Caenorhabditis elegans: one gene and its partners. The protein of the gene in region 1 purifies or fractionates together with the protein of each later gene. This does not show direct contact. Each region holds a gene or a part of one and is shown on either strand. Other genes may lie near its edges. The genes, in order: K10G4.3, taco-1, dgn-1 and rep-1.

The links.
Region 2: the proteins of K10G4.3 (region 1) and taco-1 fractionate together in Caenorhabditis elegans (co-fractionation; one large-scale study listed by BioGRID). This does not show direct contact.
Region 3: the proteins of K10G4.3 (region 1) and dgn-1 fractionate together in Caenorhabditis elegans (co-fractionation; one large-scale study listed by BioGRID). This does not show direct contact.
Region 4: the proteins of K10G4.3 (region 1) and rep-1 fractionate together in Caenorhabditis elegans (co-fractionation; one large-scale study listed by BioGRID). This does not show direct contact.

What each region holds. Positions count from the first base shown.
Region 1 is NC_003283.11:17,262,470-17,267,366, forward strand, and holds K10G4.3 (uncharacterized protein), read right to left. Parts: upstream 2,487-4,897; 5' UTR 2,485-2,486; coding exon 2,332-2,484; intron 2,279-2,331; coding exon 2,108-2,278; intron 1,882-2,107; coding exon 1,597-1,881; downstream 1-1,596.
Region 2 is NC_003281.10:281,674-291,383, reverse strand, and holds taco-1 (Transcriptional regulatory protein), read right to left. Parts: upstream 7,268-9,710; coding exon 7,058-7,267; intron 6,406-7,057; coding exon 6,277-6,405; intron 6,120-6,276; coding exon 5,886-6,119; intron 3,976-5,885; coding exon 3,742-3,975; intron 2,234-3,741; coding exon 2,183-2,233; 3' UTR 1,921-2,182; downstream 1-1,920. Other genes in the region: Y50D7A.13 (Peptidase metallopeptidase domain-containing protein), read left to right, coding at 1,845-1,920; xpd-1 (General transcription and DNA repair factor IIH helicase subunit XPD), read right to left, coding at 8,511-8,750.
Region 3 is NC_003284.9:10,924,843-10,931,750, forward strand, and holds the start of dgn-1 (Dystroglycan 1), read right to left. Parts: upstream 4,157-6,908; 5' UTR 4,054-4,156; intron 2,978-4,053; exon of another isoform or gene 2,773-2,977; intron 1-2,772.
Region 4 is NC_003281.10:1,567,676-1,577,295, forward strand, and holds rep-1 (Rab proteins geranylgeranyltransferase component A 1), read left to right. Parts: upstream 1-2,630; 5' UTR 2,631-2,648; coding exon 2,649-2,764; intron 2,765-3,748; coding exon 3,749-3,818; intron 3,819-3,868; coding exon 3,869-4,099; intron 4,100-4,877; coding exon 4,878-5,029; intron 5,030-5,124; coding exon 5,125-5,332; intron 5,333-6,071; coding exon 6,072-6,250; intron 6,251-6,551; coding exon 6,552-6,711; intron 6,712-7,272; coding exon 7,273-7,369; intron 7,370-7,418; coding exon 7,419-7,496; intron 7,497-7,657; exon of another isoform or gene 7,658-7,730; intron 7,731-7,754; exon of another isoform or gene 7,755-7,827; intron 7,828-8,099; exon of another isoform or gene 8,100-8,175; intron 8,176-8,196; exon of another isoform or gene 8,197-8,269; intron 8,270-8,405; coding exon 8,406-8,533; intron 8,534-8,750; coding exon 8,751-8,864; 3' UTR 8,865-8,963; downstream 8,964-9,620. Other genes in the region: Y67D2.2 (Ubiquitin carboxyl-terminal hydrolase), read left to right, coding at 2,081-2,176; Y22D7AL.7 (Talin_middle domain-containing protein), read left to right, coding at 9,081-9,203. UniProt on the Caenorhabditis elegans protein: Substrate-binding subunit of the Rab geranylgeranyltransferase (GGTase) complex. Binds unprenylated Rab proteins and presents the substrate peptide to the catalytic component B and remains bound to it after the geranylgeranyl transfer reaction.

The DNA of each region.
Region 1 (4,897 bases):
GAGCAAAGGTTTTTAGATTATTAGCAAAACACAAAATATATATTCCAATCTATGTATCTGTATGACTTTTTATATCGGAAAATGTTTAAATACAAATTGTAATATGGTTCAGATAATACCAGGAACCTTTAACCGGCATACCTGCGTCAGACCTACCATGTGCATGTTTCACGCTTGTCACGTGCCTGTATTACGTTTGCTTCTTGTCTGTATATTCTCTTGACAAATGCGAAAAATTCTGAAAATAAACACGAGAACACAATATTTCAATTTAAATAATGTTTATTTGGACAAAATCTTAAAATATAAAGAGAAGTTGCACACAAAAGTGCTAATGCAAAGCAAAAAAAAGTAGAAACAAAATCAAATATAACATAGAGAAGAATATGAAAAGTATTGACAAAATTTTCAAGCAAGTACACGATAAACGTTCCAGCAAAGGAAACAAGGAATACGCCAACCTTTTTTCGTGCAACACGAAATGAGGTGACAAGCGAATTGAGAATTTAAAAGTGCTTGTAGACGGAAACTTTGACAATAAATACGGATATCCCCACTGGGAACTCGCCAGGAAATATAAAAAAGAAGAAACCTAAAAAGTGCTGAAAACTTAAAGAGTGGGCGATAAAATTATGATGGTGAATAAAAACAAAGTAATTTAAATTAAAAACATAAAAATTAATATTTAACAATACAACTAAACAACGGGAACAAAAATTGCATTGATCAATCAAATTTGAATAGGCAATAACTAAACTAGCTCAGATTTAATCCTCAGCGGTTCAACTTGGGTGGGGAAGTGAAACAAAGAAAGAGTTTACGAGAAGAGGCGACGTACAATAAAATGAAAATAAGGCGACTGGGAACGTGGGGCTTATACAAGTTAGGGGATGTTTCGAAATTTTGTTTTTTTTGTTGTTTAATTTCGACTGTTTAATTATTATTGGTTCAAAATTTTAATTTTTTTTATCGTTATGGTAAAATTGGAGTCGGTAAAATTGGAGAAACGTTAAGTTTTGATTTAGCAATGAATATTTAAAGGTTGAAAGTGATTTTTAAGTATTAAATTGTGAAGAAAAGTATGCCTCCGTTGCTGGAGTGTTCGCGGACTCTTCTTCCATAGATCGCCATCACTTTTTCCTTTATTACTGGAACTTGGTTTAGTGAGCTACTGCCTTTGCCAACTATGGTTGTAATTTCTGTAAGTATTACATAATCAAAAGGCTTTACGCGACAAATAATTGATTCTTGAGACACGTTTCGTTTTTTTTTTTGCGTTTTGAGCATCGTGAGACCTAGGTCGCTTTTGGTCAATAAAATGTTCTATCAGAGCTGTCTAAAGTTTACTTATATTTTTTTACTAAAAGGTTATTTCAACGAATCAAAAACTAAAATTAAAACTCTTAAGACATTAAGAATAAGAAGAAAGTACGAAATTAGAAACGTTTAGTAAGCTTGAATTTCTAAAACTTCAAACCCAGGAAATTCTTAATCTTTTAACAGAAACTATTACTCATTGCGCACCCTTTTTAGATTTATTTACGACCAGACTTTAATTTTTAATATTGAAATTATTTCATATGTTTATAAATGCAACTAACCTTTGTATTTTTTTCCAAGTCCAAGTTTTCCAAGTTTTTCCAAGTACTGTCCAAGATATTCTTCGATGAAATCCTCAATCTGGTCCTGCATAAGGTTGTGAAGTTCTAAGGTTGGCTGGAATCCGTATGGAATGTTCTTAAAGTCTCGCAACTGTTCATTTCTTTCATAGACATTCTTCCTGATCTTTTCTTTTTCTTTTTTAATGGCTTCATAAATTTTGTCATTGTTTTGGTTGTTACGATTCAAGTCTAGTTGTCTTTGGAATTCGGAAATTTTTTCCTGAAAAAATCACATTAATTTTGCGAAAATTGCAAGAATCAAAAGTGGAGAAACGTCTGTTTCAAATGCGAAAGGGAGTATTTTTAAAATAAAAACGGTGCGTTCAAAAAAAAATATGTTTTTTTCGTTTTTTTTTTTGAGCGCCGATTGGTAGGTCTAACAGTAAAACCGATCCAGTATTCAACCCATTTTTCCTTTCGCACATAATAAAATTATAAAAACTCACATAAGATTCTTCAATATTTTCCAATTTCCACTTATTGGCGATTAATATTTCGCGAGCGTCGTCCAGATTATGTTTGCAATAGCATAGGATGTAGTGAGCAAACCAGGGGCTAATTCCGTATCTTGGCGTATCCATGCAGAATTCATCAACAAGGATTGCTAAATACTTTTTCTGAAAGAAAAGTTAAATCTTTATAACGAGCAAATCGTAAGAAAACAACTTACAGAATTAAGAGACAGTTTTTTTGGAACTTTTTCAAGTTTAATAATGAGCTTATCCCATTCGATGGCTCTGTTGTAGCTCATATGATCGGTTAGTTCCTCAGTCATCCAATGCTTTGTTAATTTTATCAAGATATCCAAGTCGCGTAAATGCATCTGAAATATCAAAAAATTTCAAAAACTTCATTTCGCAATAAGGTAATTATCGATATCATTGAAAAAAAGCACGCTGGGAAAAATCAGAAAAAGAAACTAATGAATTTTGTCAGAAAACGCAAAAACGAAAGGTTATACACGTTTGCGCTGCAATTTAAAATAAGTCGAAAATTTCAGTCATTTCTAATTTTTTTTGTTGCAAAATAAAAAAAAATAATTAAAAATTTATGAGCGTTCTATAATTTTTTAACATTTATATTCGGACATTGCGACCCACATTTGATAATTTGAAGCAAAAAACTAAAGGACTCTACTTCAAAACGAAAATTTCACATTATGATGTCACATTATGATGTTAAAAGTAATAAAATATAAAAGGTAAACAGTGTAGAAGTGCGTAGAAGAGGCATTTTCGTTAGACAACCAATTTTTTAAGGAAAAATCAGAAAAAGAAACTAATGAATTTTGTCAGAAAACGCAAAAACGAAAGGTTATACACGTTTGCGCTGCAATTTAAAATAAGTCGAAAATTTCAGTCATTTCTAATTTTTTTTGTTGCAAAATAAAAAAAAATAATTAAAAATTTATGAGCGTTCTATAATTTTTTAACATTTATATTCGGACATTGCGACCCACATTTGATAATTTGAAGCAAAAAACTAAAGGACTCTACTTCAAAACGAAAATTTCACATTATGATGTCACATTATGATGTTAAAAGTAATAAAATATAAAAGGTAAACAGTGTAGAAGTGCGTAGAAGAGGCATTTTCGTTAGACAACCAATTTTTTAAGGAAAAATCAGAAAAAGAAACTAATGAATTTTGTCAGAAAACGCAAAAACGAAAGGTTATACACGTTTGCGCTGCAATTTAAAATAAGTCGAAAATTTCAGTCATTTCTAATTTTTTTTGTTGCAAAATAAAAAAAAATAATTAAAAATTTATGAGCGTTCTATAATTTTTTAACATTTATATTCGGACATTGCGACCCACATTTGATAATTTGAAGCAAAAAACTAAAGGACTCTACTTCAAAACGAAAATTTCACATTATGATGTTAAAAGTAATAAAATATAAAAGGTAAACAGTGTAGAAGTGCGTAGAAGAGGCATTTTCGTTAGACAACCAATTTTTTAAGGAAAAATCAGAAAAAGAAACTAATGAATTTTGTCAGAAAACGCAAAAACGAAAGGTTATACACGTTTGCGCTGCAATTTAAAATAAGTCGAAAATTTCAGTCATTTCTAATTTTTTTTGTTGCAAAATAAAAAAAAATAATTAAAAATTTATGAGCGTTCTATAATTTTTTAACATTTATATTCGGACATTGCGACCCACATTTGATAATTTGAAGCAAAAAACTAAAGGACTCTACTTCAAAACGAAAATTTCACATTATGATGTCACATTATGATGTTAAAAGTAATAAAATATAAAAGGTAAACAGTGTAGAAGTGCGTAGAAGAGGCATTTTCGTTAGACAACCAATTTTTTAAGGAAAAATCAGAAAAAGAAACTAATGAATTTTGTCAGAAAACGCAAAAACGAAAGGTTATACACGTTTGCGCTGCAATTTAAAATAAGTCGAAAATTTCAGTCATTTCTAATTTTTTTTGTTGCAAAATAAAAAAAAATAATTAAAAATTTATGAGCGTTCTATAATTTTTTAACATTTATATTCGGACATTGCGACCCACATTTGATAATTTGAAGCAAAAAACTAAAGGACTCTACTTCAAAACGAAAATTTCACATTATGATGTCACATTATGATGTTAAAAGTAATAAAATATAAAAGGTAAACAGTGTAGAAGTGCGTAGAAGAGGCATTTTCGTTAGACAACCAATTTTTTAAGGAAAAATCAGAAAAAGAAACTAATGAATTTTGTCAGAAAACGCAAAAACGAAAGGTTATACACGTTTGCGCTGCAATTTAAAATAAGTCGAAAATTTCAGTCATTTCTAATTTTTTTTGTTGCAAAATAAAAAAAAATAATTAAAAATTTATGAGCGTTCTATAATTTTTTAACATTTATATTCGGACATTGCGACCCACATTTGATAATTTGAAGCAAAAAACTAAAGGACTCTACTTCAAAACGAAAATTTCACATTATGATGTCACATTATGATGTTAAAAGTAATAAAATATAAAAGGTAAACAGTGTAGAAGTGCGTAGAAGAGGCATTTTCGTTAGACAACCAATTTTTTAAGGAAAAATCAGAAAAAGAAACTAATGAATTTTGTCAGAAAACGCAAAAACGAAAGGTTATACACGTTTGCGCTGCAATTTAAAATAAGTCGAAAATTTCAGTCATTTCTAATTTTTTTTGTTGCAAAATAAAAAAAAATAATTAAAAATTTATGAGCGTTCTATAATTTTTTAACATTTATATTCGGACATTGCGA
Region 2 (9,710 bases), on another chromosome or scaffold:
GGCAAATCGGCGAATTTTCCGAAAATGAACATTTCCGTCAAATCGGCAAGTTGCCGAATATCAAAACTTCTGGCAAATCAGCATTTTGCAGGGAATTAAATTATCCGGCAAATCGGTAATTACCGGAATCGAAAATTGCTGGCAAATCTGCAAATTGCCGGAATCGAAAATTTCCGACAAATCGGCAAATTTGGCGAAAATGAAAATTTCCGGCAAATATGCAAATTGCCAAAAATGAAAATTTCTGGCAAATCGGCAAATTGCCGGAATCAAAAATTTCTGGCAAATCGGCAAGTTGCCGGAATTAGAACTTTCCGGCAAATCGACAAATTGGCGGAATTGAAAATTTCGGGCAAATCGGAAAATTGCCGGAATTAGAACTTTCCGGCAAATCGACAAATTGCCGGAATTGAAAATTTCCGGCAAATCGGCAAATTGCCGGAATTCAAAATTTCCGACAAATCGGCATATTGCCTGAATTGAAAATTTCCGGCGAATTGGTAACTTGCCGGAATTGACAATTTCTGGCAAATCGGCAAATTGGTGAAATTGAAAATTTCCGGCAAATCGACAAATTGGCGGAATTGAAAATTTCGGGCAAATCGGAAAATTGCCGGAATTAAAACTTTCCGGCAAATCGACAAATTGGCGGAATTTTAAACTTCCGGCAAATCGGCAAATTGGCGGAATTGAAAATTTCCGGCAAATCGGCAAATTGGCGGAATTGAAAATTTCGGGCAAATCGGAAAATTGCCGGAATTAGAACTTTCCGGCAAATCGACAAATTGCCGGAATTGAAAATTTCCGGCAAATCGGCAAATTGCGGAGATTCAAAATTTCCGACAAATCGGCATATTGCCTGAATTGAAAATTTCCGGCGAATTGGTAACTTGCCGGAATTGACAATTTCTGGCAAATCGGCAAATTGGTGAAATTGAAAATTTCCGGCAAATCGACAAATTGGCGGAATTGAAAATTTCGGGCAAATCGGAAAATTGCCGGAATTAAAACTTTCCGGCAAATCGACAAATTGGCGGAATTTTAAACTTCCGGCAAATCTGCAAATTGCCGGAATCGAAAATTGCTGGCAAATCGGTAATTTGCCGAAAATGAAAATTTCTGGTAAATCAGCAATTTGCCGAAAACTAAAATATCTGGCAAATCGGCGAATTTTCCGAAAATGAACATTTCCGTCAAATCGGCAAGTTGCCGAATATCAAAACTTCTGGCAAATCAGCATTTTGCAGGGAATTAAATTATCCGGCAAATCGGTAATTACCGGAATCGAAAATTGCTGGCAAATCTGCAAATTGCCGGAATCGAAAATTTCCGACAAATCGGCAAATTTGGCGAAAATGAAAATTTCCGGCAAATATGCAAATTGCCAAAAATGAAAATTTCTGGCAAATCGGCAAATTGCCGGAATCAAAAATTTCTGGCAAATCGGCAAGTTGCCGGAATCGAAAATCGTCAATTCTTGCCGATTTTCCGTAAAATAAAATTGCCGTCCACCGCTGAAAAGAGTTACAGTACCATTTTTTGGGAAAAATTTGGTATTATTGCAAAACCTGGCAATTATCGATTTTCGGCCGGATATTTTTGAATTCAAATTTTATTTAAAAAAAATTATTTTCAGCCCAAAAAAGCTGACCTTTTGGGATTTTTCCAAAAATTTCGTATTTTCGATGGAATTTTTCAGAGTTTTCAGCTCAAAAATGCCAGAATTTGAAATTTGCTGTCAGATTTTCTAGAAAGTTTTTCTTTTTTCAAAAAGTTTGGTGCAAAAAATCAAATTTTTCTAAAGAATTACCCCAAAAATCCCAAAAAAAAGTATAAAATTACAGAAAACCAGCAAAAATCGGAAAAATTCAATTGTCAAAATACGATATTCGAGCAATTCGGAAGCTGTATGGACAATAAAATATGGACATTTCAGTTTTTTTTTTTTAATTATAGCTTTATACTAACAAAAAAAACAGGTGGAATTCAATTTTAAAAAATCAATAAAAACTCAATAAAACAACAAGAAATGCGGGAATCCTATCTATTGAACTGATAAATAAAATAAAATAAAAGATTTAAAAAATGGAATTCTGATGGGAAAACGACTAAAAATAGAGAAAAAACAATGGAAATTTTCCGCTTTTCCGGCTTTTTTCAATGAAAAATTGAAAAAAATCGGCTACTCGTCTGGTGTGATGTTGTCGAAAATTTGGCGTACTTGTTCGTCCTCCTGAAATAAAAAATACAAATTTTCTCAAATATTTTCGAAATATTCTGGATTTCTTGAAAATTTCTGATATACTGTTGAAGTTTTTTGAAATTTTATGGAATTTTTTGTAATTTCTTGGAATTTATTGAAAATTTCTCATTTTTGAATTTTTTGATATTTTTGAAATTTTCTGGAATTTTTAAACATTTTCTGGAATGAAAAAAATTCGAATTTTCTTGAAATTTTTTAGATTTTTTACGGAAATTTTCTGGAATTTTTTAGAAATTTTTTCTGAACTTCTTGAAAAAAAAAATTTCTAGAATTTTTTGAAATTTCATGGAATTTTTTGATATTTTTGAAATTTTCTGGAATTTTTAAACATTTTCTGGAATGAAAAAAATTCGAATTTTCTTGAAATTTTTTAGATTTTTTACGGAAATTTTCTGGAATTTTTTAGAAATTTTTTCTGAACTTCTTGAAAAAAAAAATTTCTAGAATTTTTTGAAATTTCATGGAATTTTTTGATATTTTTTGGAATTTTTGCGAAAATTAGCGGATTTTTCAGAAAATTTCTGGAATTTCTTGAGATTTCCTATATTTTTTGGAAAAATTTCTGATTCTTTTTAGAAATTTTTTCTGGAATTGAAAAAACATTGTCGAACATATTTTTGAATGTTTGAACTTTTCAGAATTTCAGACATTTTTTAGGAATGTTCTGAAATTTCAGAACATTCAGAAAAAAATTGAAAATGTATTGAAAAAATGTCAAAAATTGGAAAATTTCAAAAAATTACCATAGAATTCCAAAAATCTTTCGAAAAATTTTGGAATTTCCAGAATTTTTCTAAATTTTCTGTATTTTTATTAATTTTTCTGGAATTTTTGAAAAAGTTTTGAAATTGTCTGGAACTTTTTTTTTTATTTTCAAACATTTTTTTTAGGAATTTCCTGGAATTTGTTACAATTTTCTCAAATTTCTTGAAAATATATGGAATTTTTAAAGAATTTTTTTGGAAAATTCCTGAATTTTCTGATTAAAAAAAACATTTTCTGATGCATTTTAGAAATATCTGAAATTTTTTGAAATCTTTTTGGAATTTTTTGGAAAATTTCGAATTTGTTGAGATATTTTTTGAATTTTCTCATTTTTGACATTCTTTTCAACACATTTTCGAATTTTTTAGAAATTTTCTGCAATTTTTTGTAATTTTTTGGAATTTTTGAAATATTTTAGAATTTCTTGGATTTTTTAAAGAAATTTGTGGAATTTCTTGAAATTTCAAATTTTTTTAAAATTTCTGAATTCTTTGAAAATTTCCGGAATATTTTTTTGAATTTTCTGGAATAAAAAAATTGTCTAATATATTTTTTTAAGTTTTTAAATTTTCTGAATTTTTTAAAAAATTACGGAATTTTCTACAACTTTCTCTGCAATTTTTCTCGGTTTTTTCAATTTTTTTTTTGATTTTTTGTCCAAAAATCTTAGTTTTTTCTCGAGTTTTTCCCGGAATTTTTAGTTTTTCCAGTACCTGAAGCATTTCATACAACTTCTGAACCTTTGGCTCCTCAGCTTCAGGACAATCAATTGGATGAACAGGTCGGAATTCAATTTCCGACTGTAAAATCGAGAATCCACCCTTTCCGAGGCCGTTTTCAAGAGTTTGAAGTGATTTTGCATCACAAATTAGTTCGAATTTCTTCGTTGAGTCCTCTTCAATCAGTAAAACCTCTTCAGCATCGAATTCCAGACCGATTTCTTCCATCTGAAACACAAAAATCGATGAAAAATCCAAAATTTCACTAATTTTCGAGTTAAAAACCGATTTTCCTGGTGAAAATCACGCCGGGAGCTGTTTTAAAATAAATTTTACGTTCGAAAAATCAATTTTCAGTCGAAAAATCGTGTTTCTCGTTATTTTTCACCCCAGCTAGCCGATTTCTAGAGATTTTCTGTCATTTGTCGTAAAATATGATGCCTAATCGGTGTTTGCACGTCTAGAGCTACAGTAACCCAATAAACCTCAAAATTCAGCTAGAAACCCAAATTCTTCACTATTAAGTACGTTTCTACCTAGTTGGATAAAACATTTCAATTTTCTTAGATTTTCTGCAATTTGTCGTAAGATTCGGTGCCTGGTCAGTGTTTGCGTACTTCTAGAGCTACAGTAACCCAAAAAACCTCAAAATCACCGTTCGAAAAATCAATTTTCAGTCACAAATTTTGAGTTTTCAGTCTAAAACTGAGATTTTTCCGTTTTTTTAGTTCTTTTAAGCCGAAAACCTCCGATTTTTAGAAATTTTCTGCATTTTTCCGTGAGATTTGGTGTATTGTATTGGGGTACGGTAGTCGGTTTTGCGTACTTTTGACGGTACAGTAACCCGTTTCTGAACGAAAATTCTCAATTTCTACGTGAAAAACTGAATTTTTTTCATTCTTTGCCAATTTTTATTGAGAAAATCGCGCATTTTCAGCGAATTTGACCCAAAAATTAAGTTTTTAAAGATTTTTTCGAGAAAAATCTAGTTTCAGCTGAAAAACTGCGCATTCTTATAGAAAAAATCGTGTTTCTTGTCATTTTTCACTCTGGAAACCTCGTTTTGCGAGATTTTCTGTCATTTGTCGTAAAATATGATGCCTAGTCGGTGTTTGCGTGCTTCTAGAGCTACAGTAACCCGGATAATTTCGAAATTTAGCTAGAACTCAGATAGAAATTATCTTAGGCAGAACGTAGTCGATTAAAGTTAAAATTCAAATAAATTCTGCAATTTGTCGTAAGATTCGGTGCCTTATCGGTGTTTGCGTACTTCTGGAGCTACAGTAACCCAATAAACCTCAAAATTCAGCAAAAACCTCAGACAAAAACGGTTTCAGGTTGAATTAAGCCGCGTAAGTCAAAATTACAAAAAAATTCGCAATTTGTCGTAAGATTAGGCGCCTAGTCGGTGTTTGCGTATTTCTGGCGCTACAGTAACCCGAAAAATCTCAAAATTGAGCTAGAACTCCGATAAAAAGGAATCCAGGCAGAAATTTGCCGATTAAAATTGAAATTCATATAAATTCTGCAATTTGTCGTATCCAAGCCGGTGTTTGCGTATTTCTGACGCTACAGTAACCCGGGTATTTCAAATTGAGCTGAAATATCAGATAAAAATGCTACCAGGAAGGAGAAAAAAGAGCATTATTCAAAATTTGAGCAAACTCCGCAATTTGTCGTAAGAATCAGTGCCCAATCGGTGTTTGCGTACTTCTAGAGCTACAGTAACCCAAGAAACCTCAAAATTAAGCTAAAACCTTAGATAAAAATGCTTTCAGGTAAGAATTAGCCGATTAAAATTAAAATTCAGATAAATTCTGCAATTTCTCGTAAGATTCTGTGCCTAATCGGTGTTTGCGTACTTTCGGGGCTACCGTAACCCGGACTTTTTTAAAATTGAGCTAGAAACCCAAATTCTTCACTATTAAGTACGTTTCTACCTAGTTGGATAAAACATTTCAATTTTCTTAGATTTTCTGCAATTTGTCGTAAGATTCGGTGCCTGGTTAGTGTTTACGTACTTCTAGAGCTACAGTAACGCAAAAAACCTCAAAATTGACCTAGAAACTCCAAAAAAAACGCCGTTAAGCTCCAAATTTTCAGGAAAAAACAGAATTTCAGCATAAAATCGCCCGTACTTCTTCAATATTCAGAATTTTTCCGCCTTTTTTCGTGTCAACATGCACAACACCCTTCTCCTCGAACCAACTACGAACACCACCATCAGCTGCCAACCGGAAACCGCCCAACTTGTTGAAATACTTCCGTAAATCGTTTTCAAACGCTTTTTTGTTCGAAGTTTCGGCGGTTACGATAAGGAATATTCCAGATGGTCCAATGATATCGAACGAGTATTCTACTTCGGGCTTGTCCTGCAAAAATTCGGGGGATTTTTGGAGTTTTTGTGGAAAAATAGACAAAATTTTGCGGTTTTTAGGTTAAAAATCAAGTTTTTTCACTCTTTTTTGCGAAAAAAATTGCATTTTCTGCGATTTTTCATCATTTTTCCTCATTTTTTCACTATTATACCTTCATTTTTTGCAAAAAGTTCTTCAACGTGTCCAGTGGAAGTCCTTGTGCTCTGAATTCGGACTCCAAATCAGCGAGTTCTCGATTGAGCTTCATGTCGAACCCGCCACGAGATACTGCTCCACGGACCTGGAAAAAAAAATCGCTTTTTCTAGGAATTTCTGAGCAAAATTTCAATTTTTCGTATTTAAACTCCATTTTTTCGTACTTTTTACGCCGAAAACCTAATTTTTTGAAATTTTCGGCTTTTTTTCGTAAGGTGTGGTGTATTGGGTACGGTAGTCTGTGTTTGCGTACTCTTGAGGCTACAGTAACCCAAATTTATGGATTTTCTGCAATTTGTCGTAACGTGTGGTGTACAGGGTTACGGTAGTCCGTGTTTGCGTACTTTTGTTGCTACAGTAACCCAAAATCTTGTATTTTTGAGAAATCTGATGGGAATTGTCAATTTTTCTGCAAAAAAATCGTAAAATCTTGGTGTTTGCGTACTTTTGTGGCTACAGTAACCTAAATTTTTCGGATTTTCTGTTTTTTTCCGTAAGATCTGGTGTACTGGGTTACGGTAGTCCGTGTTTGCGTACATTCGGGTCTACAGTAACCCAATTATTTGGATTTTCTGCATTTTTCCGTGAGATCTGGTGTATTGGGGTACGGCAGTCAGTGTTCGTGTACTTTTGGTGCTACCGTACTAAAAATCGCTGGATATTCATGGTTTTTAATCGAAAATTCGCTTTTCTCGGTGTTTGCGTACTTTTGGTCCTACAGTAACCCGAAAACCTACCTTTCTGAGTAAAAAGTTGGTTGCCTTCGACCGAATCAAATCATTTTTTCCCTTCACCGCCTTAATATTCTGCCATTTCGAGTGCCCCTTCTGCTGAAAAACCGTCAAATGCACAGCTCTCGCCGGCTGAAATTGTTGGAGCTTCTGCAATTTCTGAAGCTTCTGGAGCTGGAGACCCGTTGTGGTGAGCCGACGGAGCGGGGAGAACATCTGCAAAAAATTGGGGGAATTTTGAAATTTCAAGGGAAAAATCCCGGAAAAATCGATATTTTCAGGTAAAAACTACCATTTTAAACCGAAAATTGGCTGAAAATCGGAAAAAAAATTGAAAAACCGGTGATTTTTTTCAAAAGGAGAACGAAAATTATGAGATACAATTGAGAACATTTTCAAAAAAAAATTAATAAATTAATGGAGGAAAACTGGTAAAATATGGTAAAATACGAGGGAAAATTAATAAAAAATCGGGGAAAAATTGAGATTTTCCATGGAAAAAATGAGAAAAAAAAAGAGCATTTTCCAGTGAAAAATCTAGAAAATTAGCAATTTTAAATTTTAAATTAATTTTAAATTAAGAAATTCAATTTTACGGTCAAAATTCAGAAATTTCGCTGAAAATTCCACATTTCAGTGTTTGCGTACTTTTGGGGCTACAGTAACCCAAAAATATTCGAATTTTTGAGAAAATTCACTGAAAAACGGACATTGTAGTGTTTGCGTAATTTTGTGGCTACAGTAACCCAAATAATTCGAAAATTTTGAGAAATTTCACTGAAAATTGCGCATTTCAGTGTTTGCGTACTTTTGGGGCTACAGTAACCCTAAAATATTCGAATTTTTGAGAAATTTCACTGAAAAACGCCCATAACAGTGTTTGCGTACTCTTGGAGCTACAGTAACCCGAAAATATTCGGATTTTTGAGAAATTTCACTGAAAAACGCCCATAACAGTGTTTGCGTACTCTTGGAGCTACAGTAACCCAAAAAACTTAAATTTTTGCGAAAATTTACTGAAGAACGGGAATTTTAGTGTTTACGTACTATTGGGGCTACAGTAACCCAAAAATTTGATTTTTTTTTGAGAAATTTCACTGAAAAACGCCCATAACAGTGTTTGCATACTCTTGGAGCTACAGTAACCCGAAAATATTCGGATTTTTGAGAAATTTCACTGAAAAACGCCCATAACAGTGTTTGCGTACTCTTGGAGCTACAGTAACCCAAAAAACTTAAATTTTTGCGAAAATTTACTGAAGAACGGGAATTTTAGTGTTTACGTACTATTGGGGCTACAGTAACCCAAAAATTTGATTTTTTTTGAGAAATTTCACTGAAAATTGGCTTAAATATCAATTTTTAGCGATTTTTTTTGTTTTTCACTCATTTTTCACGGTTTTTTCTCAAATTTTTACAAATTTTCCATGAAAAATAGCTCAAAAATCAAAAAAAAAATCTAATCAACATATTCAACAACACGTTCAAATCTCTTCATAATCTGCGAATCGTGAACCATTTCCTTATCCAACAACGAAACACCCAGCTGATGCTCCTTTTCGAATGGCTGAGCCATTAGTGTGAGCCAACGCCTGGCAACTTGTGCCGCTTCGTCAATGCTCAGATTGGTACAAGCTGGCTCCAGGTATTCCTGCATCCAGCGGGGCAATTTTCCACGTTTGTCGTTTCGGGAGAATCTCTGAAGAAAATTACAAGTTTTGAGGGGAAACATGGAAAATTTGGGCAGAGGTTCCCCGGGAAAGTGGTCAAATGTGCTCTCTGTGAGCAATTTCGGGTGAAAATTCCAAATTTTTGCATATTTTTATGCTAAAATTTGAAATTTCCACACAAAAATCACCGACATAACACATTTGCCACGGAAAATATTTTTCAAATTCTCTAGAAAAATGGGCGGAGCATCACAAGCCACGCCCATTATATGGTCACTTTTCAAAGCTTCAAAATTTTGAATTTTGAAAATAATTTCGCATTTTTAAGCGAAAATTTTCAATTTTGGGGACGAAAAACTATATTTTTTGCGATTTTTGGCAGATTTCTAATAAAAATTTCAGAAAATTGGGCAGCTGGTGAAATTCTTCGTATTTCTTCAATTTTCCGCTATTTTTTTCAGCCAATTTCAGATTTTTTCAGAGTATCTCTACAATTCAAATCATTTTCCGAATTTTCCGTCCAAAAAAAAAATGAAAATTTGGGCAGAGGTTCCCCGGGAAAGTGGTCAAATGTGCTCCCGGTGAGCAATTTCGGGTGAAAATTCCAAATTTTTGCATATTTTAATGCTAAAATTTGATATTTCCGCACAAAAATCGCCGACATAGCACATTTGCCACATGGTACATCAGAATTTCAGCGCATTTCAAGCTGAAAAAAATCAGTTTGAAACTATGAACATTAGTGAACTTTCGATATGTTTTTAACAAAAATCGTGGAATTTTTCTACCAAAATCCAAAAATTTTTTTGAATATTTTTTGCAGCTAAAATGGAAAAAAAACTTGCTTAGCTTTTCAGGTTTTTTAGTGAATTTTGTGCAAATTATTTCAAAGTGTTCTGATTTTCCAGTGAAAAAAATCAATATTTAGCTTTTTTTTCAAATTCTCATGCCACGCCCACAAAATGGACACATTTTTTGTTGAAAAATTG
Region 3 (6,908 bases), on another chromosome or scaffold:
ACTTTCTGCACGAGCGGTACCATTAAGAAGCAGATTCTAAAAGCAACATGTGCCTGTCTGTCATCTCATCATTAGAATCAACAGATGGTCACACGTCGGCATAATGGAGTCCGCGAAAAGCTACAGTCTGTTGGCGGCTTCTCGCTACTTGCCTTCTCGCGTACGGTTTATGGCTCTTCTTAACTCAGCTCCCTTTTTGCATTTTTATAAACAATTGTACTCTTGCAGGCCTTTGAGCAAGGAGTCTATACACTGTATAATGATATGAATACGGAAGGAAATTAGCAAATGAGAGAATCAAATATACGGTTACATTGATATTCAAAGTGTGTGAAGCAAGGTAGAGAAAAAAGGTGAATAAGAGCAGAGGTGCAAAGGAAAGAGTTACAAATCAATTGTAGTGCAAATATTGCGTTTTTTGTTGGATGACCCTTATTAACCGTTCACACATCTTTCATTGAAGAAAGGAGAGTGATAAAGTAATATAGGGAGAAGAGAAGAAACATTCGAATATAAAATTGAAAACCATGTCGGTAGAAGAAGAACAACTTTAAAATTCATATACAACGGCAAAGTTTTTTCTAAAACACTTCTAAAAAACTAGACATTAAACAAAAAATTTTGTTTTTTTTTAATTCTGGGTAGATGAATGCGTTTTTCAAGTCAAGTCATAAATAGTATTTATTTATGAAGATAAAATATTTTTATTTTTCAAATTGTTGAATTTTGAGCAGGAGTAAAACTAATTTTCTAAATATTATTGTAACTTCAGTTTTAAATTACATTTTCTCAAGTATCAATTTTTCCTATAATAAAAAGAAAGGGTATAGAACTCTACTAGCCATTTGGATAAAATATGGAATACAATATAATTATAGTAATTAGAACGATGTATACGAGCATAATTAGGCGAAAGGCGGCCCATACAACTCGCAAAATATAGTTCTTACTGTTCTCCGAAGATGCGCGCCGTCGACAAGGTAATACCGACTGAGGCTGTTCAGATATGCCTAACAATGCCCTCACGACATTTTCGAGATCGCATAATTGTCGTCGAGAGCGGTAATCCTGGGAATCTGTGGGACATACGGAAGGTAAAAAGATTGAAGACGTGAGACGAGATGGTGACACAAGAAAGAGAAAAATGAGAGCAGGTGTACATTTGACTGACACTAGTGCTCCGTTGACAACCTGTGACTGAGGATTACCTTATTTCACAAAAAGAACACACAAAAACCCAGTGAGAAATGATCGTCTCAGTTCATTGTTCTGACACCTTTCCGTGCGCGAAATTGGTTGGATTAACGTCCAGTGAGGAACGTATTGAAGATGAAACGAACGTGCTAATTAAATGAACGATGAGGATGATGATGGGTGCCGTTTGCCATCTATTAGGCATGGATTACCTGGCTTAACGTTCTCGAATTGCTTGAATCGACAGCCACTGTGCAAAGGGTAATTGTATACACTTCTAACACGGGAACACCGGAGACAAAACGTACTGCTAAAACTGAGACTAACACGCCTATTGTTCTGGTTTCGTACTTCGACTGCTAGTAGTCAGCGCGTTCGTCTCATTCTCATTGTCCGGATCCCCATGTTGACAGGAACCAAAAGTATTAGACTTTTGTTTTTTAATAAAAAAATGAAACGGTAAATCATGAATCATTCCTCAAATATTTTTCAGCCACCAGCTTCCATTAAGTCAATTTTGACAATTTTTCCAAAAAAATATTTGGTGTAAGAGCAAAAAAAAAGAAAGTGATATCACAAGAGATTAATTGAAAAATTCCTGAAGCACACTCCTGTGAACAAGCTAAAGTTTTTTGGTCGCTCACAATGAAGCGGACATAAATCATTATCAGACTAGAGGATTAAAAGTTTGTAATGTTGCGGTAAAATCTTTAAACTATATAAGCATAATCAGAGAAGTGCAAATTTAGTTAATTCAAAATGTTAGATCATAAATTCAGTTATTCAATGTGACCGTATTCATATTAATTTGGAGCCGATTTTCTCATAAGCTGTTGAAAATATCTATTCACCACCGGGCAGATCGTAAACCATCTGATTGAATACAGATTTCCTTATGTAATCTATCCGTATTGTGCAATACTTTTGACGCGACAACGAGGGCAAGAAATGGCACTGTGTGCAGCTGCGCGCGTTGAAGCAGATGCTTGTAACGACATAAAAGAGCTCCTGCGTTGAAGAGATGGCACACAAATGGGGGCACGATTCCATCACATATCATCAAATTGAGAAGAGTCAAGGAATGGACAAGGACGTTTGGACAGAAATCAGATTTGGATAGCGTAGATTTCGAGTAAAAAACCCCGCGTCAAAAAAGTTTCCTCAGCAAAAAAGAGAAAGTTGTGCGTATGGGTAGGGTCAAGCACGAGGCAAGCCCTGTTGACCAAACATATAAAGTGAGAGGCGAAAAATGTGGGGAAGGACGGAGATGGTCCTATTTGGTCGGCTCAACCTCATAAAGTTGCGTCACCGTACCTGTGGCCAGGTGTGTGCAGGATGGAGCAAACGAGGAGGCAACGATTGGAAGATAAGCCTAATGACTGGGTGTTCAGACGTACAATGCGGGTCCGTTTGGAACAATTACAATTTTTCTTGGTCAATTCAAGACGGATGGTGATATTTATAAGGATGAAAGAAGAACGGATGACGAGAGCTAATCAGAAATGGACATGCGATACGTTACGGCTACGAAGAGAGAGGAGGAGGAAAATGGCATGCAACATTTGAGCAGTCTAATAAAGCCGAACACAGATGAAGAACGAAGCGGTGGCCAATATTCAATCTGCATAATAAATAAGCGATCCGTACAAACAAAGACGTTTCCTTCGTGGTCTTCCGTCCTTCCGACACTCCCTACGGACCATGAACCGACCGACATAAGAAGGCCAGCTCCCACGGGAGCTTTTGGTATGGTGTCTCGAATGAATTTTGCATATAAATAGAAGAAACCGACCGAAACATATTGAAAACGGAGATTCGATTTATTTTCCATCTTATCTTTTATTGAGTCAGTTCAGAGGGGTTTCAATTGTCACTTTGACACCTTATTAGCAACCGAACAAAGAGTGCCGGATTTGCTAAGTGAGTGTAAAAACAAGATTATAAAAACAGTGGGCCTTCTTATTCTAGTCTTTTGAATGTTTTGATTGACGTAAGATCTTGGGCCACTTTGTTTCTTTTGAGAATTGCGAAGACGAACATTGTTGAGTAAAATTTAGTAGGGACGAAATTTTTTGAGAATAACAAAACATTTTATGTGCGCCAAAACTTTTTTCGATTTTTTGGTTCTTCAAAAAACTGAAAAACGGAAATTTTCGCTTTTGAGAAAACTGCAAAAACAAATTCTGAAAACACTCCAAAATCGGTATTTTTATACAGAATGCAATATTTTTATTACTGATGACGCCCTATTTCATACAAACAACATACATAAATTGCACTTTTTCAAACTGGACCCTAATTTTTTTTCGATTTTTTGGGTTTTTCGGCTTTTTGACCCACACCGCAAAATTGAAAAACCGAAAAACGTGAAGAACGGAAAACAACATTTTTTGTTAAGATTTAGGTTATTTAGAGAAAAAACTCGGTTTTTCGAAAAAAAAAAACTAGCAGACAATTCATATAATACCTAAAAACCAGGATGTTTTCGAGTTAAGTGAATGTTTCAAAATAAGGACGTCACTCTGAAGTCGTACGAAAATTTTTTTTGAAACACCTATCTCTGTACACATATGAGTAGTCACAACATTTGTGGCTTCGTACACCTTTGAAGTGTTTTTGAATGCACAAACATGACGCCGCTTTTTTTGGATTTGTGCCAAGAAGCAGAATAAGTTTTTCAGGCAAATACAAAAGAAAACATCTCGTTTTCTGTGTACAAAACTACATATATCAGGAAACGAGATTTAGTAAAACATTTTATAAGACTAAAAGAATTGTTTAGTTACATAGGAAAATTTTTTTAATGCCTCGAAAAACTTCCGGGCACGCGTTCGAAACTGGCATTAAAAAAAGTCTCACCTCTATGTGTTTATCAATAAGCCGGGACTAAAAAATGGGTGCGCCAAATTGAAATTTCGTTTTCGATTCTAATCACAAGTTCGGTTCAATACACGTTGTCGTTCTGAAAATCGAAAGTAACTTTTGCAACATATACGTTCAAGACATGAAATGGAGCGGAAAACTTCAAAAAGGGGTGTCCTTTTGAAACTTGGCAAAAAGCGATTTGTATCAGTTGACAGACTAATTTACGATAATGTACATATTGAAGAAACTTTCAAATTGGAACTTCTGAGATCTGATGAATATAGGTTTTTCAAAAAAGAATAAAAAAGCTAGCAATGTGTATAGTTTTGATGTGAAAATAAATATCGTAAGAGAAAAAGAAACACTGTCAGTTGCATACCTCATAAATATAATCAAGGAGGTATTGAAATTGCCGAAAAAACGGTTATCAGAGGAAAGAGATAGCAAGTACGAAATGAAGAATGCAACCTGGAAAATTCGCTTTCTCTTTTGTTGCATCCCTCCTTGTTGATAACACACTATGAATGTGGTTTTGACAAGAAAAACATACGCACACAGTTTGAAGCATTTTTTTTTCTTGTCACCAACCATTCGGATGAATTATACCCGAAAATGTGTGTACACTCGTTGGAGGATAGGGGAAAAAGAGAAAATGGTCAAGGTAGGTAAACAGAAAGCTTTCATAAACGTTTTTCTTACCATTTTTTTGCCTTTTCTTGGGCATAAAAGTTAGAGTTACTACAATGAATGTCAGTGTGGTTTGTACTATTTTCTGCATACGCAGAGGGAAATCAAAAATATCAATAGAGCGAAGAAAAGCGGTGAGTTTCAAAAAGGCTCTTCCCATGAAATATAACCCCCATTGTAATTAAAATTCTGAAAAAAAAACCAGAGTGCAATGAGTTTTTGAATGCGCCGTCTATATGCGTGGCAAGGGAATACAGCTATTTTCATTTTATCATATGTATATTTTCATATCTATATGAAGTTTGCAAATATATAAAACAAATTTTTTACTAATTTCGAAGAGCACATTTAAAAAAGTTGAAATTTAAACGAAGATATTAGATTGCAAATATCAATCTGTAGTTTTGTTTGATTTTGAAGTTATTCAAAACATAAAACGGTAATGGATTTTCAAAAGAAATAAAATAGAGTCTAACAAAACAGAAAATTAGGATTTCCAACAATTTTTGCTTTTGATAAGACACGCTAGATGTTGTTGATCATAAAGCCACGGTAATCATTGTCCTGGCCAAATGTAGAACTAATTAAATTTTGCGACAAAGTCCCTGTTGTCATAAAAATGTGATTTTTCCAGTCCTACGTTATTTAGAATTTAACACGATCCGTCCTGCTATTCAAGGAAAAATAAAATCAGGGCGTTTCTTGTTAGTGGTTTCTCGGTATGTGTGTCCAATACACTAATTACTCGATGGTGATTGAAATCAAATATCAAGACAGGAAAGAGGACACGAGTAACTGATAAAGGTCAAATGCACATTAAACTTAACGCACAAAAAGTTAGGCAATGTCGTAGAAAGTGGTGTGTGAGGAGATAGAATGGTGAGTCAGGAACGGTAGAGGGTTTTCTATTCGAAAGAATAAAAATCTGTTTTCTAGTAAAATTGAAAAGAGTGAGAGATTGAGAGAAAAATAATGGAATAAAATCGGAATGGTGTTTACATCATTTCCATATTAAAATTTTGAATTGGAAATTTAAAATACAAACTACTGGTACATATAGGAATATGAGATACTTTGAATTTTCAAATTTACAGTTTAGATATAACTGCATAATAATACCTTTTGAAAAAGATTCTTATACTTCTTCAAGGTCATCAATTAACAGAAACAAAACAAAAAAAAAGATTGCGTGGTTCAAAGATATAGTTTCATATTTCTTGCAATTGCATTCAAAAAGCAAGCAAAATGACCTTCCGAGTGAAGCGAGTAAAAAACGAGGACCAAGCCAGTTTGACCAAATGTCTCACTATTATATGATCCGATTCGTAGACTGCAACGATGAGAATAATAATTGTAGAGTATCAAATGAATAGTGGGGCAATTTTGAAAGAAGAAAAGTGGAATGAGAGGAAAATAGCCAATGGTCACAATGGCTAAAAACGACCACATGAGGCTCACGTCCCTGTATTGACCACTAATGAAGATAATTTAAGTGAAACGTTTAAATAATATGATTTGGTCGGTTCACAATAATAAAAAATTAATTTCTCGTTGTATTTAGTTAACTAATGGAATTACGCTCATAATTTTTCCGATCCTGCGGAACTTCAGATAAATAATTTTTTGTCATATTATGACATGTGCATGCAGTACAGAATAAAAATGCAAGATTATTACAATTTGGCAATTTGTTTCGAATATTTACTTCACTGGAGAAGTATGTTGTTCAATTACTACTAATTATCAAAATTAAAACATTCTTAGGAAACGAAAAATTGACTACCAAAAATAATAATGAACTAAGAAAATTTTTGAAAACAATGAGCTATATCCATATCCATCGGAGCCAATGTTGACACTACAACCTGTCGAGAAAACAAAGTGAAAAGTGGATATGCATGCAGGAGGTGTCCGGTTTCGAAACCGATTGAATTATCCTAATGAATTTGGCAGCGAAATACAATAACGTAAAGAAGCAAAAGTGATGGAACAGAACGTAGTGTTTTGCTCCGGCCGGCATTGACATGGTCAGTGCACGCTAAGCCAGATGACAAATAAGAATGTCATGGTTACGGCGGGTTACGAACCCGGGTCACAGTTGAAATGTTTCTCAACAAGCGGAGACGTTTTATGGATGTCGCATTCTTCTGGATTCACACTTT
Region 4 (9,620 bases), on another chromosome or scaffold:
TTCTCCCAGCTGCTCATAGAGCGCATTCTATGTGGATTTGCATTACGACCGCAGATTTCAATCACCAAAATTTCGCGCCAAAATTTTATATTTCACTTTAATATTCGAAACTTTAAGCTTTCTAGCGATCAAATGCTTATATATATATATATATATATATATATATATATATATATGTATTTATATACCAGCCGTGGACCGCACCTCCGGCGCGGCCCCCGACTTCTGTTGCTGAAAACCAATGTTTCTGAAACTACCGTAATCATACAGTACTCCTACCGTACCACCATTGTACCACTACTACAGTACCCCGACTATATCCCTACACTAACCCCAACTCACTATCCCTCCAGAAGCTAAAACTTCGCAGACTACAAAGACTACATAGACTACAAACTATGGACAAACGGAATAAGCGCTTTATATATAGTAAATTATATATATTAGGTCTCCAAATAAGTTCCGGGTCAAAATTGATAACTTTGTTCGCTGTGTATCAATTTTTATGAAACTTTGGGAATTTATGTTATCAACCATGATCTTTCATTTGACAATAGTCACAAAATTTTTTGACCACCCCAAGTGTCCTAACTCGGAGCCAATTTTTTCAGGCATTTTTCTGATCTCGGTTCTTTTCAGTTTTCAATTGAGCTTTGTGTGCGGATTTTGCTTTGTTTAGAATACATTATTAGAAAACAACAAAAGTTTGGAAAAAAATCCGCCCAAAAAATTTTTTTTTGTCGAAAATTCTTGATTTTTCCTACAAAAATGATGTAACCAAGTGTAAACTATTTTTACACATATAAATCATTTGAGTTAAAAATTTGAATCTCAAGAAATATTCAAAAAACTAAAAAATTATCCGAAAAAATTGTATTTTCTACTATCATTTTAGTGTATCGAACTAAGTTGATATGTTTTGTATGTCGAAAAATAGTTTACACTTGGTTACATCATTTTTGTAGGAAAAATCTAGAATTTTCGACAAAAATTATTTTGAACATTTTTTGACGACCAACCAAAAAAATTTTTTTTTGGGCGGATTTTTTTCCAAACTTCTGTTGTTTTCTAATAATCTAAACAAAGCAAAATCCGCACACAAAGCTCAATTGAAAACTGAAAAGAAGCGAGATCAGAAAAATGCCTGAAAAAATTGGCTCCGCGTTAGGACACTTGGGGTGGTCAAAAACTTTCGTGACTATTGTCAAGTGAAAGATCATGGTTGATAACGTAAATTCCCAAAGTTTCATAAAAATCGATACGCAGCGAACAAAGTTATGATTTTTGACCCGGAACTTATTTGGAGACCTAATATATATATACCAGCCGTTCGAACGCGCTGAAGCGCGTGCTCCGACTGGCGTACTCAAAATTGAAATCAAATTCTAAAATTTCTAAGCCTTTCTCTGTAGATGGAACGTTTTTTTTCTGTTTTCCGGAAGTTTTCGAGCAACATAAATATTATATAGCTGAGTGTTTACAACTAAAAAAAAACGTTTTTCAAATCATATAAAACTTTTTTCCGGTCCTTTCCGAGAGTTTTTGGCGAGCGTTTCTGGAAATTATAACAATTTTGATCTTTTTTTTTCAAATTATTGAAACTTCAGAATATTCTAGGAGTATCAAAACTTGAAGAAGTTTTTTTTTTTGAACTTTCCGAAAGGTTCTAGAAATTTGCAGGTTCCTGAAATTTTCCACGAAATTGAACACTTCAGAATTTTCCCGATTTCTCTAGAAAGTTTTGGAACATTCCAGAATTTTCTCGAATTTATTTTTCTCAGAAAATTTGAATTTCCAGTCAACGAAGAGCCTTTGTCACAAAAACGACATATTATTAAAATTCACAGAATTTCCTAAATATTCCCTTCCTAAACATTTTCTCGTGACCCATGTGCTTCTACTCGTATTGGTGGCATAAAAACTGTATTTATTCACAGTTTCAGTCTTAAATTGGCCGAAAATGTGAATAAATACCGTATTTCTGCCAACAATTTGACAATAGAGCACATTTGTCACTCGGAGATGCGGAAGCTATGCCCAAATTTTCATTTTTCCCCCGAAAACTTGTATAATTTTTCAGGTAACCCGTGTACCGTACTCCCACGTGGCAGCCTGTCAAAGTTATATGCTATTCTACGAACGTGTCAAACCTCATCGACTCTACGAAAGGATGTAATTTCTGGATTTTTATTGATTTTTTTGAGAAAATTTTTTTTTTGGAAATTTCGCAATTTTTTTCCCAAACAATTGATTTATTTTGTTGCTAGATTCCCCTTATTTTTTGTTGTAAATTTTAACATTTTAATGACACAACGTGTAGCATTTCCTTTAAAGTTTATTTTTTGTGCAAAAATTCAGAAAATTTGAAAAAAATATTATAACTCTTCCCCCCGTCCCGTGCCATTTTTGTTAAGTTTTGTGTGTGTGTGTGAAAATGAAGATTTTTCGTGTTTTTTCCACTTTTTTTAGTTAATTTTTAAAGGTTTTCAGCCGTAAATCAAATATTTTAATAGAAAAAAAAATTTTTTTTGGAAAATTTTCAAAAAAATTTTTTTTTTTTTTGGTTTTTTTCAATTTTTCAAATTTAAGCATGACATCTCTTATTTTCCAAAAATTCAAACTATTTCCAGCTTTTCCAGCTCTAAAAAATGGACGAAAAGTTGCCAGAATCAGTGGACGTAGTGGTGCTGGGCACCGGACTACCTGAAGCCATTCTGGCTTCAGCTTGTGCTCGAGCTGGCTTATCTGTGCTTCATTTAGATAGGTAATAGGCGAACTAACATTTAAAAAAAGTTTAAAAAAATGAATGAATGAAATTGAAAAAAAAAAAATTTTTGCGAAAAAAAAATTATTTTCGGCTAAATTTTTTTTTTAATCATAACTTTTCCTCAAAAATACAGCAAAATTCGAATTCTCCACGTCGCCAGCTTCAATTTGATCCCCAAATTGCCTATATTCCGCTGGTTTTGAAGTTTTCGGGTCCCGCCACGAAAACTCCTCGGGTTACTGTAGTTTTTCGCGGCGGGACCCAAAATAAACGGATTCTGGGCATGATGGGGGTCATTTTGAAGCTGAGAACCTGATGAATTCAAATATCACATTAATTTTCGGGAAAAATCAGAAAGTAAAAATTTTCTGACCAAGTTTGTGGAAAATTTTTCGGAAAACGTCAAAAGTTTCCAATTTTCGAAAAATGTCAGCCAACTGATATCATATTCGAGTTCTCCACGTCACTAGCTTTAAAATAACCCCCCACCATGTCCATATTCCATTGATTTTGATTTTTTTGGGTCCCGTCACGGGTTACTGTAGCACCGATTTCAGCTGTGTCGATTGTCAAAATACACCGAACCTAGGCGTGTTGGGGCTCATTTGAAAGCTAATAACGTTGAGAAATCAGATTAATTGTTCGTTTTCGGAAATATCGAAAATTAAACAAATTTTAAGAAAAAAAAATATATATTTGCCAAAACATTTTTCAATTTTCAGAAATTTAAAAAATCAGAATTCTTTCTGAAATCTTCACGTTACCAGCTTTCAAATGACCCCCATCATGCCCATATTCCGCCTACTTTGAGAATTTTGGGTCCCGCCACGCGGGTTACTGTAGCACCGATTTCAGCTGTGTCGGTTGTCAAAATGCACGGAACCTAGGCGTGTTGGGGGTCATTTGAAAGCTGATAACGTCTGGAATTCGAATTTCATACTCGATTTCTTGAAAAATTCGAAATAAAAAATATTTTTGCAGAAATGAGTACTACGGCGGTGATTGGTCATCATTCACAATGTCGATGGTTCATGAAGTGACTGAAAATCAGGTTTTTATTGATTTTCAGCCAGAAAAACCCCAAAATTTCCGAATTTTCAGGTAAAAAAGCTGGATTCCTCGGAGATTTCCAAGTTATCAGAGCTTTTGACTGAAAATGAGCAGCTCATTGAGCTCGGCAATCGAGAAATCGTGGAAAACATTGAAATGACGTGGATTCCACGTGGAAAAGACGAGGAAAAGCCGATGAAAACGCAACTGGAAGAGGCTTCACAAATGCGGCGATTTTCCATCGATTTAGTGCCGAAAATTCTACTTTCCAAGGGAGCAATGGTACAAAATTGCAAAATTACACCTAAATTGGAGAACTTGATGTTTTGCCCTAATAGTCATCAAAAAATCAATTTTTGCCAAAAAAAAAATTTTTTTTGAAACTTTTTTTCTGAAAAAAAAGAAAAATTTTTCTAAAAATTCAATTTCCTCATTTAAAACTCTGAAATTCGAATTCTCTACGCCACCAGCTGTCTAATGACACCCAACATGCCCAGGTTCCGACCGCTTTGAAAATTTTGGGTCTCGCCACGCGGGTTACTGTAGCATCGATTTCAGCTGTGTCGAGACTGCCAAAATTCAAAATCAACGGACCACGGACATGTTGGGGGTCATTTGAAAGCTGATAAAGTGGAGAATTCGAATTATTTGCTAGTTTTCTGAAATATCGAAAATTTAAAAAAATTGAAAAATATTTTCCAAAAAATTGTCAATTTTCAGAATATTCAAAAATTAACATTTTTTCCGAGATCTTCACATCACCAGCTTCAAAATGACCCCCATCATGCCCTGGTTCCATGCAATTTGATTTTTTTGGGTCTCGCCACGCGGGTTACTGTAGCACCGGCTTCAGCTGTGTCAAAACTTCCAAAAGTCAAAATCAACGGAGCCGGGGCATGTTGGGGGTCATTCGAAAGCTGAGAGCGTCGAAAAATTCGAATTTCCGCATTATTTTCAGATATTGAAAAGTTTGACAAAAATTTATGGGAAAATTTTGAAAATCTTGAAAAAAATTTGGAAAAAAAAAACGATTTTCTTCCAATTTTTTGAATTTTTTCAGGTTCAAACACTCTGTGACTCCCAAGTATCCCATTATGCCGAGTTTAAGCTTGTCAACCGGCAGCTATGCCCAACAGAGACCCCAGAAGCCGGAATTACCCTAAATCCGGTGCCATGTAGCAAAGGAGAGATTTTTCAGAGCAATGCTTTGTCGTAAGGGATTTTTTTAGGCTGAAAATCGATAAAATATCGATTTTCTTTGCCAAAAAAATCGATTCGCAATGATAAATCTCCAAAAATTCTTCCAGAATCCTGGAAAAGCGAGCTCTTATGAAATTCATCACATTCTGCACACAATGGAGCACAAAAGACACGGAAGAAGGCAGAAAACTGCTCGCCGAGCACGCCGACCGCCCGTTTTCAGAGTTTTTGGAGCAAATGGGCGTTGGAAAGACCCTGCAGAGCTTTATTATTAATACGATCGGCATTTTACAGCAAAGACCCACTGCGATGACGGTGAATATGCGGAAATTACTGTTTTTTAGAAAAAAATCTGAATTTCTAAAAAAATTGAAAATGAAAAAAAAATCCAAAATTTTTTTTTTTGCACGAAATTTACTTCAATTTTTTTCAAAATATTATTGAAAAATTTGAATTCTCGCCACTCTCAGCTTCAAAATGACCCCCAACATGCCCGGGGTCCGTTGATTTTGAGTTTTGGCAGTCTCGACACAGCTGAAACCGGTGCTACAGTACCCCGCGTGGCGAGACCCGAATTTTCAAAATCATCGGAACCCGGGCAGTATGGGGGTCTTTAGAAAGATGATGATGTGGAGGATTCGAGTTTTGAGTCGATTTGAAAAGAAATTTATAATTGAAAAAAATTTGAGCAAAAAATTATTTTTTTTTTCGAAAAAATGTTGATTTTGTCTATTTTGCTAAAAATTTTTGAAAAATTCAAATCTCTAACGCTTTCAGCTTTACAATGACCCCCATCATGCCCATTTTCCGTGCAGTTTGCGCTCCGACACAGCTGAAACCGGTGCTACAGTACCCCTCGTGGCGGGACCCAAAATTTTCAAAATCGATGGATCATGGGCATGATGGGTGTCATTTGGAAGCTGGTGATGTGGAGAATTCGAATTTCGAGTTGATTTTCATGTCAAATTTGAAATTGAAAAAAATTTTGAGAAAAACAAATTTTCAAAAAAAAAAAAAAATTTTTTTCAAAATTTAAAATTTTTCCAAATTCCAGGGAATGTTGGCATCATGCCAGTTCATGGATTCTGTCGGCCATTTCGGTCCATCGCCATTCCTCTTCCCACTCTACGGATGTGGAGAGCTCTCACAGTGCTTTTGCCGGCTGGCAGCAGTCTTTGGGAGCTTATATTGTCTGGGACGGCCTGTACAGGCTATCGTGAAAAAAGATGGAAAGTTAGTGAAGAGAATAAGCGAAAAATCAATAGTTTCTGCGAAATTTGACCTAATTTTCAAGTCAAATTCCCAGCAAAACTAGTTTTATACAATATTCCGTGACTCATGTGTTTCTACCCAGATTGATGGCATAAAAACTGTTTTTATTCACATTTTCAGCCTTAAATTGTGCTGAAAATGTGAATAAATACCGTATTTCTGCCAACAATTTGACAATAGAGCACATTTGTCACTCGGAGATGCGGAAGCTATGCCCAAATTTTCAATTTGTCGGAAAACCAATTTTCTCAAAAATTTCCAGAATTACGGCTGTAATTGCCAATGGAGATCGTGTAAATTGTCGCTACATCGTGATGTCCCCGAGATTTGTCCCCGAAACTGTTCCAGCTAGTAGTACGCTGAAAATCGAGAGAATCGTCTATGCGACGGATAAATCGATTAAAGAAGCCGAGAAAGAACAGGTTCCGGAGCATTTTTTGGAGTTTTCCACCAGGAAATTCGATTTTCCCGCAAAATTCCACTCTAGAATTCAATTTCCCCGGGCTTCTAGCTCAATGTTACAATTTTTGGGGTTACTGTAGCGCCAAAAGTACGTTGACCTCGGTGCTTGCGTACCTGAGACCGAATTTTACGAAATTGAGCTTAAATTGGCTGAAAATCATGTTCCGGGGTGAATTGGCAACGGGAAATTCGAATTTCGCATTGAAAACCACCTTGGTCAACTGGTTTTCGAGAAAAATTTAATTTTACTCGAGAAACCAGTGCTCCTAGTTGATTTTCAATGCAAAATTCGAATTCCCCGTTGCCAATTTACCCCGTAACTGAAATTTAAGCCAATTTGGGTTCAATTTCGTAAAATTCGGTGTCAGGTACGCAAACACCACGGGGGCATCGCGTACTTTTGGCGCTACAGTAACCCCGAAAATTTCAAAATTGAGCTAGAAGCCTGGGAAAAAATAATTCTAGAGTGAAATTTTGCGGGGATTTCGAATTTCGTATTAAAAATCCGAAAAAATTTTCAGCTAACCCTCCTCAATCTGGCATCTCTCCGGCCCGACGCCGCAGTCTCACGGCTTGTTGAAGTGGGCTTTGAAGCCTGTACGGCTCCGAAAGGACACTGTAAGCCCCCACGTTTTTTCCTAGAAAAATAAAGATTTTTTTTTTGCAGTTCTGGTGCATGCAACGGGTACCCAAGAAGGAGAAACAAGTGTCAAGACTATTGCAGAGAAGATTTTTGAAAAAAATGGTGATTTTCGCGGAATTTTTAGGGGGAAATTTTGAATTTCCACTACCGAAAACCTATTTTTCGCTTAAAATTTGAGAAACTTTCATGGAAAAGTCATTTCCAAGTGAATTTTCCCTAATTTTAGGTGAAAAATTCGAATTCTCCGCTATAAAAAACCTATATATCCCCACGGGGAATCGAACCCTGGACCTTTTGCTCCAAAGGCGAGCCGCTTAGCCACTGCGCCACGCGTTGCAGCTAACCAGTGATGCATGTTGCACCCCGTGGCGCAGTGGCTAACAGGCTTGACTTCGGAGCAAATGGTCCCGGGGTTCGAGTCCCCGCAGTGGTGTATAGGTTTTTCATAGCGAACATTTCGAATTTTTAACTTAAAATTCGCAAAAATTGAGTTACAACCTAGTTTCCTGAAATTTTCGCTCGAAAATGATACAAAATCCATTTTTTTGAACTATTAATATATGTTAAGCTTCAAAGTTCTAAAATAGAGACTCCAAGAGTTGAAATCTCAGCAAGGATTCAGTGAAATTTTGAGAAAAATTATTTCCAAGTGAATTTTCCCCAATTTTAAGTGAAAAATTCGAATTCTCCGCTATAAAAAACCTATACACCCCCACGGAGAATCGAACCCCGGACCTTTTGCTCCAAAGGCGAGCCGCTTAGCCACTGCGCCACGCGTTGCATCACGCGCCGCTGGTTCGGCGCACCGGTGGCGCAGTGGCTAACAGGCTTGACTTCGGAGCAAAAGGTCCGGGGTTCGAGTCCCCGTGGGAGTATTTAGGTTTTTCAGGGCGGAGATTTCGAATTTTTCACTTAAAATTCGCGAAAATTGGCTTGGAACCCGGTTTTTCTTTAATATTTTTGAGTTTTTCGATTTTTCCTAGAAAAATCGATATTTTTTCTGCATTTCAGAAGTGGAACCCTACTGGAAGATGAGCTTCACCGCGAATTCCATGAAATTCGACACCGCCGGAGCCGAAAATGTCGTCGTCGCGCCGCCAGTTGATGCGAATTTACACTATGCTAGTGTGGTGGAGGAGGTTAGGGCGAAAGAACGATGAAAATTGGATTTTTGAGCTGAAATTGAATTAGAAATTCAAATTAGAAAAAAAAATTTCGAAAAAATATAAAAATTAAAAAAAAAAAATTTTTTTGAAAAATTTTTCAGAAAATTTTTTTTTTCGAAAATTTTTTTGAATTCAATTTTTATCGATTTTTCTGAATTTTAAACACCTGCTATATATCCATTTTTTCCAGTGCCGCCAACTATTCTGCACAACTTGGCCCGAGCTCGACTTTTTGCCAAGAGCCATGAAAAAAGAGGAGGAAGAAGAGGAAGAGCCGGAAACTGAAGAAATTGCAGAAAATTAATTGAAAATTCGAGTTTTCCATGTAAAATTACCCCCAGACTCCCGTTTTTTTTGGCGATATTTCACTTTTTTGTGCATTTTTTGTAAATATTTGAAGAATATTTAACCATTTTTCATTGATTTTATCGATTTTTTCTGGGTTTCCAGCCTATTTTTTTACTTACTTTTTGAACATTTTTAATCATTTCAGCCCAAAACCCCCTCATTTTAAGCAAAAATGGACGAAGAAGTAGTGTTAGAATTGGCGTCCCAACAAGCCATCAAGTTTTTGCTCGCCGAGCCAAAATTTGCGGAAAAATGGCAGATGGAGATAGCGAAAGGACTGAGGGAGGACTTAAAGGTGAGATTTCTACAAAAAATTTAAGAAAAAACTTCGAAACCCCGAGGTTTTTACGAAAAAATCCATTTCTAGGCAGATTTCCATAGATTTTAAGTAAAAATTCGAAATCTCCGCTATAAAAAACATAAATACCTCCACGGGGACTCGAACCCGGGACCTTTTGCTCCAAAGGCAAGCCGCTTAGCCACTGCGCCACCGGTTTCCCAGCCAGCGGCGCGTGCTGCACCGGTGGCGCAGTGGCTAAGAGGTTTGCCTTTGGAGCAAAAGGTCGGGGGTTCGAGTCCCCGTGGGGGTATTTAGATTTCCTATAGCGGAGATTTCGAATTATTCACTAAAAATTAAGGAAAATCTACGGGGAAATGGGTTTTTTTGGTTAATTTCTCATATTTTAATAGATTTTTGGTAAAAAATTCGAAA